2 linked regions of the Elephas maximus indicus genome follow. The protein of the gene in region 1 interacts with the protein of each later gene in a biochemical or structural test. Links are inferred from orthologs where the notes say so. Each region holds a gene or a part of one and is shown in the gene's direction. Other genes may lie near its edges.

Region 1 (8,098 bases):
CTATCATCTCTCACCTGAATTACTGCCATGGACTCCCAGTTGGTCCCACCTCCTTAAGTTGCTCTTTACACTAGCTGCCACTGCAATCTACCTAAATCTTAACAAAGTTTGAGCCCTCCCACTGCTTCCAGAAAAAGCGAGAAGCTTACTAGCATGGCTTGCAAGGGTCTGCATTTGCTGCCTCTTGAGATGGGCGGTGTATTAGTTTTCTACTGCTGCCGTAACAAATTACCACAAATATAGTAGCTTAAAGCAACACCAATTTATTAGCTCATAGATCAGTAGACCAGAAGTCCAGCATAGTGTGGCTGAGTTCTCTGCTCAGGTTATCGCAAGGCTAAATTCTCATCTGGAGACTAGGGAAAAATCTGTTTCCAATCTCATTCTTGTCACTGCCAGAATTCAGTTCCTTATGACTAGAGTCCTTGTTTTCTTGCTGGCTGTCAGCCAGGGATTGCTCTCAGCTAGAGGCCTCCCTCAGGTACCTTCCCTGTGCCCTCCTCCATTCTCAAGCCAACAACAGGGTGTCAAATTCTTCCTGTGCTTCAAATTTCTCTGGCTTCCTTTCTGCAAACAGACTGTGAAATCACTCTGCTTTTAAAGAACTCCTGTGATTAGGAGAGACTTAGATTATCTCTCTTAAGGTCAACTTATTAGTAACATTAATTTCATCTCCAAAATCCCTTTTGCCATAAGAGGTGATATAATCACAGAAGCGATATCTCATTATATGCACAGGCTCCACCCACACTCAAGGAAAAAAGATTTTAAACGGTGAGGGTCATTGGGGCTCATTTTTTAATTCTGCCTGCCACAGGTAGGGAAGCCAGGGAAAGCTTCACTGAGGAATTGCTGCTTGAGCTGAGATCAGAAGGTTGAGTAGGAGATAAGGCAGTAAGGAAGGAAAGGAGCTTCCAGAAAGAGCTAACCCAAAACAAAAACCAAACCCACTGCCGTCGAGTCAATTCCGACTCACAGCGACCCTATAGGACAGAGTAGAACTGCCCCGTAGAGTTTTCAAGGAGCACCTGGTGGATTTGAACTGCCGACCTCTTGGTTAAGAGCTGTAGCACTTAACCACTATGCCACCAGGGTTTCTGAAAGAGCTAACAGCATATGCAAAGACCATGTAGCTGAAGGAATTAAAGCAAATGAAAGGGACTAAAGGAAGTCCAGCATGTCTACAGTGGAGAGAACAAGGGCCATAGTGGCCTGAGATAAGTTGGAGAGGCAGGTAGGAGCCAAACCACACAGATTTTGCAGGCCCTGTTAAAGGGTTTGCTTGCAGAAGAGTGGGATAATCAAATTTATTTTCTGAAACATTACTCAGGCTATAAGGTAGTGGATGGGCATAAGAAAGCATCAGTAAAATGTGGTAGACCACTTAGGCTGGGAGAGTAGTACAAGAGCTCGAGATGCCAGTAGGGTAATGTCAGTAAGACGGAAGCAGACTGATTCAAGGAACACTTGTTGTTAGCTGCCAACGAGTCAGCTCCAACTCATAGTGACCCTGTGTACAACAGAACAAAACACTGCCCAGTCCTGTGCCATCCTCATAATCATTGTTATGCTTGAGCCCATTGTTGTAGCCACTGCGTCAATCCATCTCATTGAGGGTCTTCCTGTTTTTCGCTGACCCTCTAAGAAGCATAATGTCCTTATCCAGGGACTGATTCCTCCTGATAACACGTCCAAAGTATGTGAGAAAAAGTCTCACCATCCTTGCTTCTAAGGAATATTCTGGATGCACTTCTTCCAAGACAGGTTCATTCGTTCTTTTGGCAGTTCATAGTATATTCGATATTCTTCTCCAATACCGCAATTCAAAAGCATCAATTCTTCTGTCTTCCTTGTTCATCACCCATTTTCCATGCATATGAGGCAATTGAAAATACCATGACTTGGGTCAGGTGCACGTTAGTCCTAAAATGACATCTTTGCTTTTTAACACTTTAAAGGGGTCTTTTGCAGCAGATTTGCCCAGTTCAATGCATCTTTTCATTTCTTGACTGCTTCTTCCATGGGTGTTGATTGTGGATCCAAAGTAAAATGACATCCTTGACAACTTCAGTCTTTTCTCCATTTATCATGATGTTGATTATTGGTCCAGTTGTGTGGATTTTTGTTTTGTTTATGTTGAGGTGTAATCCATACTGAAGGCTGTGGTCTTTGATCTTCATCAGGAAGTTTCAAGTCCTCTTTGCTTTCAGCAAGCAAGGTTGTGTCACCTGCATAACGCAAGTTGTTAATGAGCCTTCCTGGAATCCTGATGCCCCATTCTTCTTTATATAGTCCAGCTTCTCGGATTATTTGCTCAGACTGAATAGGTATGGTGAAAGGATATAACCCTGACACACACCTTTCCTGACTTTAGGTCACGCAGTATTCCCCTTGTTCTTTTCGAAAGACTGTCTCTTGATCTATGTATAGGCTCTTCATGAGCACAATTAAGGGTTCTGAAATTTCCATTCTTTGCAATGTTATCCATGAGTTGTTAGAATCCGCACAGTTGAATTCCTCTGCATAGTCAATAAAACACAGGTAAACATCTTTCTGGTACTCTCTGCTTTCAACCAAGATCCTTTTGAGATCAGCTATGATATCCCTGGTTCCATGTCCTCTTCTGAACCTGGCTTGAATTTCGGTAGTTCCCTGTCGATATACTGCTGCAGCTGCTTTTGAATGATCTTCAGCAAGATTTTACTTGTATGTGATATTAATGATATTGTTCGATAATTTCCAAATTCAGTTGGACCACCTTTCTTGGGAATAGGCATAAATATGGAGCTCTTCCAGCTGGTGGGCCAGGTAGCTGTCTTCCAAATTGCTTGGCAGCAGGACTTTGTGATTGATTGGGTATGAGAGTAATGCAGTTGGAATTCTCAAGAAGTAGACTCTAAAACAGAGATGTTTACTAAGAGCGTTCTTGGAGTCAACACCTGTGCAAGAGAGAGGACAAAAACAGAACTGGGCAAAGGGAGAAGCTAAGCAGTAATTTAGTCCCAATGAAGGCCTCTGTCAACCCCATAAGGAGCTCTGGGGCTGTAAATGTCATTCAGAGTTGTCCTCCATTGGGATGAGGACTTTATACCTCTGCACTGATCAGTCATTAGATTTAGGATAGTGGGTTTAGAAAGCAAACATCACCTTGGATAAACCAGCTCTCTTCAGCTCAGGTATGAAATTGAGAATAAATCCAGCTTGAGATAAGAATAAATCCTTCATTTTTGAAGGGGTCTGGGTTTTGCATCACAGCCTCCACCACAGGAATGAAGGCATTAAGGGTGATTCCTAAATTTCTGACTTGCGCAACCTGGTGGGTGCATTTATGACATATATTGCAAGCATTTTTCCCCACTAGATTGGGAGCTACTCAAGCACAGACTGTATTGGACAGCCAGGGTTCAGCCCTATAGCTGGCACATACTTTGTTGAATAAGTGAATGACTGTCCATGACTCCTATTTCCACCTTTCTCTCCTCAACATTCCCTTTTCTCCCCTACCCTCACTTCGCCCCTCCATCCAATGTGGGAAAAGTACAGCAGGTTATCTGAGGCCCCACCTGGGCTGCCTCTGAATAAACAGCAAATCAGGCTCCTCTGATGGGCAAGGCAGGTACTGCCAGGAGGAAGGAAAGAGGGGCAGGTGAGGACATCCCCAGCCACCTCAGGCTGAAACCCTCCTTCAGTGCTCCAGCCGCAATCAGCTCAGCGCTGGATGGACCAGGTCCTCTGAATTCCCCATAAACCCGGAACCCATCCCCACGCTAATCTGCTCTTTGACTGATGCCCCCACCTCTTGCAGCTACTGATGGGGACTGGAGTTTGTTAGGAATACAGGAGGATGGATAGCTGGCAGTGCTGAAATATTAGGGGGCGTCCTGCCCTAAGAAGCTGAACCCACCTCAGTCCTGCACACGCCCCCTGTTCCTTTGTTGCCGCTGCCCCTCGGTGACCCAGCCCCCTTCTGGCCCCCTCTCGTGGGAACCAGGCGCACTACACCGGCCGCTCCACCTGCGCTGAGAGCAAACACCGAGCCATCAGCGTGTTGGGTGGGAGTGGGCGCTGCCTGGAAACCGCGGAGAAAGCCAGCCAGCCTCTTCCTCCCCTTTTCTGCCTGCGCTGGGCTCGGATTGGAACCATCCTCTATCTCATCCCCGTTTATCCCGGGCACTTCTCACCACCACCTCTGGCCGCTCTCAAAGTCCAAGTCAGACTCTTCCTCCAGGCAGCCCTTTCCCCTGCCAAGGCTTTCCTGGGGACAAATGCGCTCCTTCTCCCCCGCCCTCCCCTGCCAGCTACTGGAAGTTCTTTTGAGCCTTGGGTGGAAGCCTGGGTTTGGGCCTTGGGTAGGAGGTGGAGAGTGCCGGGGCAGATGCAGAGGCTACCCCAGCCCTGCGGTGACGAGCTGAGGGGCATTAGGTTAGCGAGAGTGCCGAGGTCACTGGCCACTCCGCGCCTCTCTGGGGCTAAAGCAACTGCGCTGCAGCGGGTGACCCCCACACGCAGCCCTTGTCTCCGACGCCACCTGCACGTTCCCTACCCCATCCAAAGAGATACAGGAACCCGGGGCAGTAGCGCCCTACTCCACCCCTCTTATCCCCCCACCCCGCATCGGCCCCTCCCACCAACAAACACACACACACACACACATAACATCTCTTTCTCTCTCTGGCCTTCTGGCTCTCTCTCTCCCCAAGATTTCCCCGGAATCGGGGGCGGGGGAAGAGAGAGGGAAGGAAATCTCTAAGAGAAGACTGGAGAGATCCAGGGAGTGGGGGGACCCTTGGAGGACAGTCTCGCAGGGAGGGGGCGGGTGAGTCCGCAGCAGGGGGCGGGGGCGGAGGCATCACCTGGCCGGACAGACGCGGCCCCGCGCCAGGGAGGCACCAGTGCCCCGGCAGGGCGCGCAGAGCAGAGCTGAGGCGTGGGGCCGGAGCTGGGGCGGGGACCAGACGGGCGCGGGGGGCGGGGGCGTCTGAGCCTGAATCGCAGCGTGAGCAGGTGGAGCCGCGGCAGGAGCCCGCCCGGCCCAGCGGACGGAGGCAGCTGGCCCCGCTGGGGCCATGGAGCTGCTGAGGCTGAACCGGAGCGTGCCGGGACCCGGACCTGGGTCGGGGGCTTCTCTGTGCCGCCCAGGGGGCCTCCTCCTCAACGGCAGCAGTGCCAGCAACCTCAGCTGCGAGTCCCCACGCATCCGCGGAGCCGGGACACGAGGTGGGTGCCTCCCTAACCTTCCTCACAAGCTCCTTCTCACAGCACCCTACAGCAGTAATAGAAGCTCCCCACGCCCTCCACACTGCCGCCTCAAACGGCCACACCATCTCCTTGGGAGTACTCCCTCAGCTGCCCCTCACACAGACGACCCCCCACCACCACACCAGCTCCTCACAGCCCTCCCCACAACACACATCCCCCTCCTTGACCCAGAGAGTTGGGAGACAAGGACCTCTTCTTGTCAACCCTTGGAGATATCTCTTTTCCTTTTACATCCAGTTCCTGGTGCCACGCTGGGGAAGGGAGGGAAGAAAGGAAGGGAAGATTGAGAAAAGAAGGGATCTGGTTAGAGGAGGGAGCATTCTGGAAGGCCTGAATGGGAAGTTAGAGCTGTAATCTCCTCTGTCCCCCACCATAAGCCCCAGCCCTCCCAAAGGAGATCCTCATGCCTGACCCCCTAAGGGCTGCTCCCCATTTCACTCCTCCAACCCCTCATGAGTCGGAATCAACTCGACGGCACTGGGTACTGCCTTCAAACCCCTCTATCTCCCAAGTTGAGGTTCTTCTCAAGGCTCTGTACTCTCTCTCTCTGTCTCCAAGTCTCCAGGCCCCCTCTGCATCCTGCCTATCCTTAAATCTCACCCTCTCCATGAGCCAGCCTGCCCACTCCATAGCCTCCGTCCCTTTGTGCCACCATCTTCTCCCCCTTCCTACCCTCCTCAGACTACTTCCAATCACCCAGTCCCCAAGAGAGATTTTCAATCCTCTCATCAGCTCACATCATCATTTTCTTGATAATTCCTGCACCCCTCCTTTCTTTAAATGTTTATCGAACACCTGATCTCCCAGTTCTGGGGACACAAAGATGTCCCCATAGTCAAGTACAGAGGAGAGACAAGCCAATGGATAAATCACGGTCAGCGTGGCCAGTGGCGTGAGAGGGTCTGAACTGTCAACACTTAAAGGACAGAATTAATTAGTTCAGACTGATGGGGACCAAGAACTTCAAGAGGAGGGGAGCTGACTCTTAGAATTGGAGTTCTGTAGGCAGAAAAGGGAGGAGGGCAATTCTAGGAGAGGAAACAGTGTTAAGAAGGGAATAGTTAGAATGCACTGTAGTTCAAGCATTGATTTACTCCACAAACTAATAATGCATGCTTTCTCAGCTCAGTTGTTACACACACTCACTTAGATTCTTTCAGTCAACAAATATTTACCGAACCAGAGACTGTGCTAGGTACCGGGGAATGAGTTGAACGAAACTGAAACAGTCTCTACTTCATGGAGCTCACAGTTTAGTGGTGGGGACAGACAAGTAATCAGGGAATTGCAGCCCCAAATGAAAAGTGCCTTATAGGGTTGTGGGAACACAGAAGACAAGCACCAAACCCAGACTTGGAAATCAAGTCTGAGGAAGTGATATCTAAGGTGAAATCAGATAGATGAGAGAGATCCAGCCAAGCGAGGGGGAAGAAGAGGCAAAAAAAAAAAAAAGCATCCCAAGCAGAGGAAAGTATGTGTAAAAGCCCAAAGTGTAAATTCATGGCACTTTTAATCAGTGTGACATAGTTTCTGACTGACTTGTACCATCTGAGGGGAATAATGAACGCTCAGGCTGGAGATCAAACTAGTGTATTTACGGACTCTTATAGACCCAGCTAAAGGGTGTGGATTTTATCCTGAAGGCAGTGGGAACAACTAAAAGGTTTTAAACCAGGATTCGTTGTATAGTGTAGAGGATGGATTGGAGGACATGAGACGGAGGACAGAGGAACACTTTAGAAGGCTATTACAGTTATCCAGGTGAAACAAGATGCTTAGACAAAGGTACTGGCAATGGAGATGGAGAGAAGAGCCACTTCTGGAAGCAGAATCAACAAGACTTGGTGATTGATTAGAAGTGGGGTGGGAGGGAGAGGTCAAGGGATGAAACCCAGGTTTCTAGCTTGAGTAATTGGATGGATGTTGGTGCTTTATAATGAGAAGGATAACAAAGGAGCATAAACAACTTTGGAAGGGATTATAAATTCAGTTTGGAACCCACTGAGTTTAAATGCCAGTGAGACATCCAGGTTAAATTGCCCAGTAGGCTGTTGAATCTGTGGGTCTGGAGCTTCAGGGAGAAGTCTGAGCTATTAATACAGACTTGAAAGGCCTTTGCCTAGAGGAGGTAATGGAAGCCATGGGAATAGATAAAATCATCCAAAGATTGTGTAGAATGAAAAGAAAAGAAGTCCTAGGAAAGGACCCTGGGGAAACCCAATATTTAAAAGCCAGGCAAAGGAAGGAGAGTCCATGGAATAGATTTAGACCAAACTATCAGAGAGACAGGAGCTATGTCCTTCCAGAAGTCAAGGGAAAAGACAGTTTCAAGCAGGGTGGGATCCAAAACCAAACTCACTGTCCTTGAGTCGATTCCAATTCACAGCAACCATATGCGACAGGGTAGAACTGCACCGTGGGGTTTCCAGGCTATAATCTTTACGGAAGCAGACTGCTACATCTTTCTCCTGCGGAGTGGCTGGTGGGTTCTAACCACCACCTCTCAGTTAGCAGTCAAGTGCTTAACCACTGCACCACGAGGGCTTCTTTTTAGGGTAGGGTAAATGATGTCAAACACTGGCAATATAGTTGGAAAAGGGCAGAACAGTGACCTTCATATTCAACAGCAAGAAAGTTCTTAGGTAGAATTGTGGGTGCTGAGGCCTGACTGCAGTAGGTTAAAGGTTGGGCCAGTGGGAGAGGGGGTTTGAGAAGTGAACTAGGGTGTGTAGACAAAACTTTCAAGAAATTTTGTAGGGAGAGAGAGAAACAAAGGAAAAACAGGATAGTGCTGGAAAATGCATTAGATTGAGGAAGGAGTGTGTGTGTGTGTGTGTGT
Region 2 (7,722 bases), on another chromosome or scaffold:
TGAGTTTTTCCTTCAGTTCTTTCAGCTTCAGAAATGCTGAGCATGTCCTTTCCTTTTGGTCTTCTAACTACAGGTCTTTGCACATTTCATTATAATAATTTACTTTGTCTTCTTCAGCCACCCTTTGAAATCTGTTCAGCTCTTTTACTTCATTATTTCTTCAATTCTCTTTAGCTACTCTAAGTTCAAGAGTAAGTTTCAGAGTCTCTTCTGACACCCATTTGGTCTTTCTTTCCTGCCTTTTTAATGATGTCTTGCTTTCTTCATGTATGTTGTCCTTGATGTCATCCCACAATTCATCTAGTTTTCCATCATTAGTGTTCAATGTGTCAAATCTATTCTTGAGATGGTTTCTAAATTCGGATGGGATATACTCAAGATCGTACTTTGGCTTTCAAGGACTTTAGTTTTCTTCAGCTTCAACTTGAATTTGTATATGAGCAATTGATGGTCTGTTGGCCCAGGACTTGTTATGGCTGATGATAAATACTTGAGTGGTGCAAGTTGTTAAGCACTTGGCTACTAACCAAAAGGCTAGTGGTTAGAACCCACTCAGAGATGCCTCCAAAGAAAGGTCTGGTCATCTGCTTCCAAAAGACTACAGCCTTGAAAATCCTCTGGAGTGCAGTTCTACTTTGCAGCTCCTGGAGTCACCATGCATTGGAATCGACTGGACTCCAACCGGTAAAGCATGTCCTTGAAAATGCCACTAAGTTTTCTACAAATACAAGATGGGCATATGTCTTTGAGATACTTCCCATGGCTGCAAATTCTACATTGGAAATATTGCATCTATTTCACTGTTTATCATTTCAAGTATTTATCATCAGTCATAACAAGTCCTGGGCCAACAGACCATCAATTGCTCATATGCAAATTTAAGCTGAAGCTGAAGACAACTAAAACAAGTCCTTGAGAGCCAAAGTACGATGTTGAGTACATCCAACTGAATTTAGAAACCATCTCAAGAACAGACTTGGAGCATTGAACACTAATGACGGAAAACCAGATGAATTGTGGGATGACATCAAGGACAACATACATGAAGAAAGCAAGACATCATTAAAAAGGCAGGAAAGAAAGACCAAATGGGTGTCAGAAGAGACTCTGAAACTTACTCTTGAACTTAGAGTAGCTAAAGAGAATTGAAGAAACGATGAAGTAAAAGAGCTGAACAAAAAATTTCAATGTGTGGCTGAAGGCATTCCCCAGACTCTGAAACAGACCCCACTTAAGTTCTTTTCACCACAATCCAATGAAAATTTCTGGATTCCAAACTCAGAAAACAGTCAAATGGTTTTGTTAAGCACCACTCCCTCTCAAAAGCAATGTCTTGAACTCATTCACCATGTATTTCAGTCCTTTGCAGGAAGATCTTCCTCATCATCAGGGGCCTCACTCAGTGATGGCAGGCTACCAGGGAAGAACAGAGAGGGCACTGCCCTTTTTTATTTCTCTTCTGGGACAAGGCGATGGACCAAGAGTGAAATTTAATTACCATCTCACACTTGGTGAAATGTAAAAACAACCTCCATCAAAGTAAAATGCATTACAACTGCTTTTTGCTTTATTTGGACTGAAGAGCAAAACCATTTCTTCTAACTAGAGTGAAGTCTACATATCAAAAAGCTTAACAGAGGTTTGCATATGTTAATATAACACCCTGCCCTGCTCTCCCCACACCCTTTCCCTGCTCTGCTTTTCTCCTTAGCATTGGGTCCTTCATGATCTATTGATTATGTTCTTGTTCATTGTCTGCCTCCCCTACTAGCATGGGAGCATCACAAGAGCAGGGATTTTGTCTGCTTTGCTCACTGCTGTACCCCAGCAGTGTCTGATAGATGGTTGGTGTCTTCAGCTGGATTCTTCTGAAATCAGATGAGAATTCGGGGATAGATGGTTTATTTGGGTGATGATCCCAGGGAGTAGATACAAGAAAATGAGAAGAGAGAGAAAGACAGGGAAGGCGGCAAAGCCAATTAAAGTGGTGTTATCAAGGTCACTGCTGCAGATGAAGGGGAGTCAAGGATCTTGGGGGAAGTTCCAGAAGCTTTTGGAATGGTCCATAGGGAGAGCAGAAGACTGGAAGTTCCCATTCCTTGCTGGTTGAGCATTGCCCTCAGGGGAGTTAACACCCTCGCATACCAGCTGAGCCTCTGTGGGGGCTGAGCTTTGAACAGAGAAGTAGAGGGGAGCTTTGGAGGCTTGAGGAGGGAATGCTGTCCTTGCTCTCAAAACTGCCCAGCCAGAAGTGGAAGGCAGATCTGTGGAAACAGGTACCAAAAGCATCTGCCTCAGGAGCATCGAGCAAGGATTTGTTAGTGAACAAATGGATTCTCCTTGGTGCAGATATGCCATATAAGAAAAGCTCAGGCTCCTGCCCATCTTGCTTAATAACTAAGAACAACGGTGAGAATTATTAGCACCCTCAGAAACCCTGGTGGCCTAGTGGTTAAGTGCTATGACTGCTAACCAAGAGGTCACCAGTTCAAATTCACCAGGCGCTCTTTGGAAATTCTATGAGGCAGTTCTACTCTGTCCTATAGGGTCGCTATATGAATCGGAATGGATTCGATGGCAGCGGGTTTGATTTTGGTCTAACCCATTAAGAAGGAAAAAATCATTATTGTGTTCAGGTTCCTTTTTGGTTTTTAATTTTCCCAGAGGATCTTCTTTAACACTTTCCTGTCCAGTATTCTCATTCCTGGGGCAAAGTGGCCACAACTTTATGGCAAATGAAAGAGGCCCCCTTGATGGTCCCTTCTTCATATCATAGTCCTTGTCACCTTTGGCTTTGCCTTGTGACATTCCTCTCCAGCCCCTTGGCCACCCCTTCTCTGGCTCTTTCCTCCATTCATTCCTTCAAGCTGTCACTCTTCCCACCACCCCCAGACTGGTGATCACCACCCTACCCTAAAGTTTGAGAACCACGGTTCTATAACAAGTTTGTATTTCTAGACCTGTCTTGGCCATGGTCACAAATATAACCAGCTCCCCTAACTGAACTACGCGCACATTTAGCAACCTCTTGAAAAACCACCTGAAACCCTGCTGGTGTAGTGGTTAAATGCTACGGCTGCTAACCAAAGGGTCGGCAGTTCGAATCCGCCAGGCGATCCTTGGAAACTCTATGGGGTAGTTCTACTCTGTCCTATAGGGTCACTATGAGTCGGAATCGACTGGACGGCACTGGGTTTTGTTTTGAAAAACCACTGGAAAGCAGTTAGCCAGCTGCTCAGTTTTTAAAACGCTGCCTTTGATTGCAGAAAGATAGCTGCTCCTCGGGTTTGGGGGGTGGCGTTTCAACCCCCACGCGGGTGCCCCACAGACCTGCCACCTCGGGAGCCCCTACCGGCAGAGCTGAATAGGGATTCCGATTTGAAAGAAAGGTTTCCAGATCTCTGCCCGGCCTTCGGTGGTGCGGTGGTGAGGAGCTGCTCTGCTGCTCGCCTTGGTTTGCCGTCTGCGAAACGAGGGTGGCAATGCCTACTCAGGGACGAGGCGACCTCAAGCACTAAGCCCCGGGACTGAAACCCAAACGGCTTCAGGGCGGAGATGGGTGAAGACCACGACAACACACTGGCTCGGGATCTCCCGGATCGGGAGCCAGGGTGCGACCGCGCTGGGAAGGGCGGGTGAGCGACCGGGGCGGGGTCCTTGTCGCCAAGCCTAGCAACCGGAGTTCTGGTGGGGATGAGTCCGGGGATCCGAATGCGCAAGAATGCAGGGGAGGTAGGAGATGGGATGTCGATGTCCTCAGAGGTCGGGGTTAAGGTGGGAGACAAACTGGGACACTCGCTGGCGCCACTTTGTGGCGGCTGAGAGATGCCGCGTGGGCCTCGGGTAGGTGGTGCCTCAGCCTCGAAGAAAACGCAGACCATTCCTGAGCTGGGTTCCTCTGAGCAAAGCCAGATAGTGTCATCCCCATTTTACAGCCGCAGAAAGCGAGGCCCAGGACGCCAACAGCCGGCTGTGGCCGGAGTCCATTCACTGCCCCGGAACACAGACCCTCAAAATCTTGGAGACCTTCAAGGGCTTTTAATGAGGCTGGGAAGTGAGTGACGACCCCGACTTAGCCCTCCCTCCCCCGAGGGAGCACACTAACATGTCTAGAGATGGGAGCTGCCTAGGGTGCTCGGAGAGAGGCCACATACCTTCCCTCTCAGAATTACACTTGGCTGACACTCAGCCCAGCCTGGAGTTCACTAAAGGCTTTTTCGGCTCATTCGATCCCTAAGGAGGATTAAACGCAAGAAGCTTCTCCATCCTGCGGGAGACTCCGACACCCAGGTCTACTGCCCTGACTAGCAAGGCGCTGGAATGGGCAAGGGAGAGGGAGCTGGATAGAGTTGGAGGAGGAAGCGCCTGGAACAGAGAGGAGGGCTGGCCACCCGGCACCCGGCAGGGACAGGTTAACCCGACTACACTAGGCCCTTTCCCCCTGTCCTCCAGGAGCCACCTCAATCGGTTGTCGCCCTAGTGGCCGCCATCTGAGCACGTGTTGCAGCCCGTTTGCGTCAGCGCTGGGAAAATAGATGACTGGACAGCAGTGCCGGGCGGGGCTATTTAAGAGGCAGCCGCCCGCCCACCCTGAACTTGGCTTGGGCTGCCTGCTGCTCTGGTGGGAACGCGAAGCCATCTGCGTTCTTCTCCAAAGGTAGGTTTGCCCTCCCGCCAAAGCGGAATCCAAGGGTCTTTTGTCGTAGGAATGGTGTCTTCAGTTTTGTGCCCCTTTGCATTTTATTCTTCGGTTTTCGTGTCTTCCCTCCGACCGCTTGAATGCCATTTCTTCAAGTCAGAAATAACAGCCCTACATCTAACAATGCATGCTGGGCGGGTGAAGCTGCTTTCGAGACTTTCACGGACGCGCATCCTTGTTTTAAGCGCACAACGCTGTAATATCCTTTGGCAAAGGATGAGCATTCAAAGTGGAATTTGTTAGATTTTACGCAGAGGTGCTGTGGACTTTGCCATCTTTTCAAATAAAATACCTAGAAGTTTTTAAAATTTAAATTCACTTTGTAAATACTGCAGAAAATTCAGTGTTTGGGGGTAGGCATCTGCGGGTGTTTAATCTGCTCGCGAGTCTGAAACGCAGCGGGACTTTGCCAATGACTGACGGCTGAGCGCATATCACTGATTTTAAAAACCCTGCCTGTGTTTAGCTAATGATTTGGTGCCATTTCATGTAGATCCTGAAGAAACTTTCCAAATATGGCTTTTGTCCATTGCTCCCACATTTTTAACTGTGCTTCTATTTTCTCACCATTTATTTCCCTACCAAAAGCTTCTTCGCTATCTGGAAACCTGCTACCTTTCTTCAAAGGTTCGCACGTTTTCTTAATCCCTTGCTTTTCCAGTTAGAAGGCAGACTCTCTACTAACATTTCTTCAACATAAAGGAAAGCAGAAAACATTCTTTCTGCTAAGCATCGCAGAAAACAGGGGCCTCTGCGCGCTCCCCGAACACCGGGTGTGGTTTACCCAAAGACAAGCCTGGTGCACCCTGACGCGCGTGCTGTGGCCACCGTACTCGAGTCTGCGCCCAGCGAGTCCTTTTGCCTGTGCTAGCCTGGCTCGTCCGGAGCGACCCGTGCTTGGGCTGAAACCCTTCTCTGTGCCCTGGCTCCCCCTACTCCCCGCAGGAGCCCACCTGGGCCCCACCTTTTGGTTAACTGCCGCCACCCCCGCCCCCTTGCTCTCCACAGCCATGAATAACGGCGTGCGCCTGTGCGTGCTGATGGCTGTACTGGCGGCGGGCGCCCTGGTGCAGCCCGCGCCCCCGGCTGATCCCGCTGGCCCCGGGGTGCAGCGAGCAGAGGAGGCGCCCCGGAGGCCGCTGAGGGCAGTTCAGAGGGTGGACGGCGAGCCCCGAGCGCACCTGGGAGCGCTGCTGGCCAGATATATCCAGCAGGCCCGGAAAGGTAAGGATGGCGCCTCTCCATCCCTCACGTCTGCCCAGGATCAGGGCTCCCAATCCTTAGCCTCTCCCCTAGCGCCCTACTGATGGAGATACCTCTTGGGGCAAACGCAGGCGATAGGTTAAGCTAAAAGGTTTTTCATTTTCCTTTGCCTGGCTATACCTCACTAGACGTTTCAGTTTTCTGAACATACTTTGTAGCAAACTCGGGGAGGGGGGGCGGAGGGAGGAGGGGCAGGAAGCGGTTTTATTAGGAAGATGAAGCTTTTTAAAAGGTTTCTTTGAACTAATTTTTGGCCCGGTGTTGCTAAGTTCAAGGCATTTTATGAAGACATTAAAAGATAAGATTTAAATTCGCTTTGCAAATATGAATTTAAATGTATGTAGAGCTCTCTAAAAGGGTTCACATAACCAGTAAATAGTCTGTTGTAGATGCAAAGAAACCTGTAGCCCCCAGATATTGGCAATTGGAAACACTCTGGCAGGATGTGATCAATACTGCCAATGCCTGAGATCTGACAACAGCAGTTAGAAAAGAAGTGACAGTGTCAGTGTTCACCAAACTACGTAATAGGAGAAAGGAATCGGTAGCAATTTGGAGTTCTTCTTGGCCATGATTGCCCAACCCTTTATTCAACCAACTCCATCCACAGTGACACTGATGGTGGGCACTTGGGCTGCGGGGCAGGTGCTCAACTGGACCAAAACATTCAGCAAATGCCTCAGGGTGAAAGTGGGAGGCAGGTAGGCTCCCTTTCCCAAGAGGCTCTCTTGCTCTACCAGATTTGACAGTTGTTGGGTACCCTAGAATGGATTCTGCCTCATAGGATCCCCATGTGACAGAGTAGAACTACCCTCTAGGATTTTCTTGGCTGTAATCCTTATGGATGAAGATTACCAGGTCTTTTCTCCCTTGGAGCTGCTGGGTGGGTTTGAACTGCCAACCTTTTGGTTAGCAGCCAAGCACTTAACCATTGCACCACCAGGTTTCCTCCTGGATTTGACTAGAGGAAGAGAAAATGGAGGGCTTGGCTCTCCAGAGTCTCCCATGGTTTCTTATGAAGGAGAGACTGGAACCTTTTCAACTAGGGGATTTCAGAGGGAAAGAGAAGTGACTCATTATATTTCTTCCTCCCTTTGGGAAATTGTTGAAACTCCCACCTTCTGTTTTGCTTTCCTGCTAATCGCATTGAAAGAGATGGAAATACTAGTAGGATAACAGAAAAGGTCTGAGAACTTTCGGGGCTCCTGGTGATTATCTGTCTGAAAGTGATTTAATATCTGACCCTGAGTTTGGGCTGAATTTCAGCCAGATCTATCTGAAACTTTCTAGGCTTTTTTTTTTTTTTTTTTCTGGAAGAAAATCTGAGAGCTAATCCACCTTGCTCCCCTCCCCACCTTCAGGAAAGATCATAGAGAAATAGTTCCAGAAAAAGCCAGTTACAACATTATTTCCCAGGTCTGATGCTTGACAGTGGCTCTCATAGCACACATCTTAGTTGGAAATTTCTTCCTCTCACTACTTCTCAACGCTTCTTCCTTGGCCTTCAGCCTGTTGTCCAAACAACCCAGGTAGGAATGGCAGTCACCTGAAACTTTAGCTGCCAACACCCACAGATTAGTGGAAGCTAGAAAACAAGCATGTGCTTCTATTTGACAAATATGAACTAGGGATAAATATATATACATTTAAAAATGGTTCGGTTTCTTTGAATATTTTACCTATTTGGAGATTGTATCAGAGTTTTACTCTGGTGGTGCAGCGGTTAAGAGTTCGGCTGCTAATCCAAAGGTCAGCAGTTC

The links. The genes of interacting proteins can lie anywhere in the genome.
Region 2: the proteins of CCKBR (region 1) and CCK form a complex in vitro, tested with the Homo sapiens proteins (3 studies listed by BioGRID). The link is inferred for Elephas maximus indicus from reciprocal best matches to the Homo sapiens genes CCKBR and CCK.

The regions. Positions count from the first base shown.
Region 1 is NC_064825.1:59,927,391-59,935,488, forward strand, and holds the start of CCKBR (gastrin/cholecystokinin type B receptor), read left to right. Parts: upstream 1-5,014; 5' UTR 5,015-5,066; coding exon 5,067-5,217; intron 5,218-8,098. UniProt on the Homo sapiens protein: Receptor for gastrin and cholecystokinin. The CCK-B receptors occur throughout the central nervous system where they modulate anxiety, analgesia, arousal, and neuroleptic activity.
Region 2 is NC_064838.1:46,705,157-46,712,878, reverse strand, and holds the start of CCK (cholecystokinin), read left to right. Parts: upstream 1-4,606; 5' UTR 4,607-4,657; intron 4,658-5,707; 5' UTR 5,708-5,709; coding exon 5,710-5,923; intron 5,924-7,722. UniProt on the Homo sapiens protein: This peptide hormone induces gall bladder contraction and the release of pancreatic enzymes in the gut. Its function in the brain is not clear.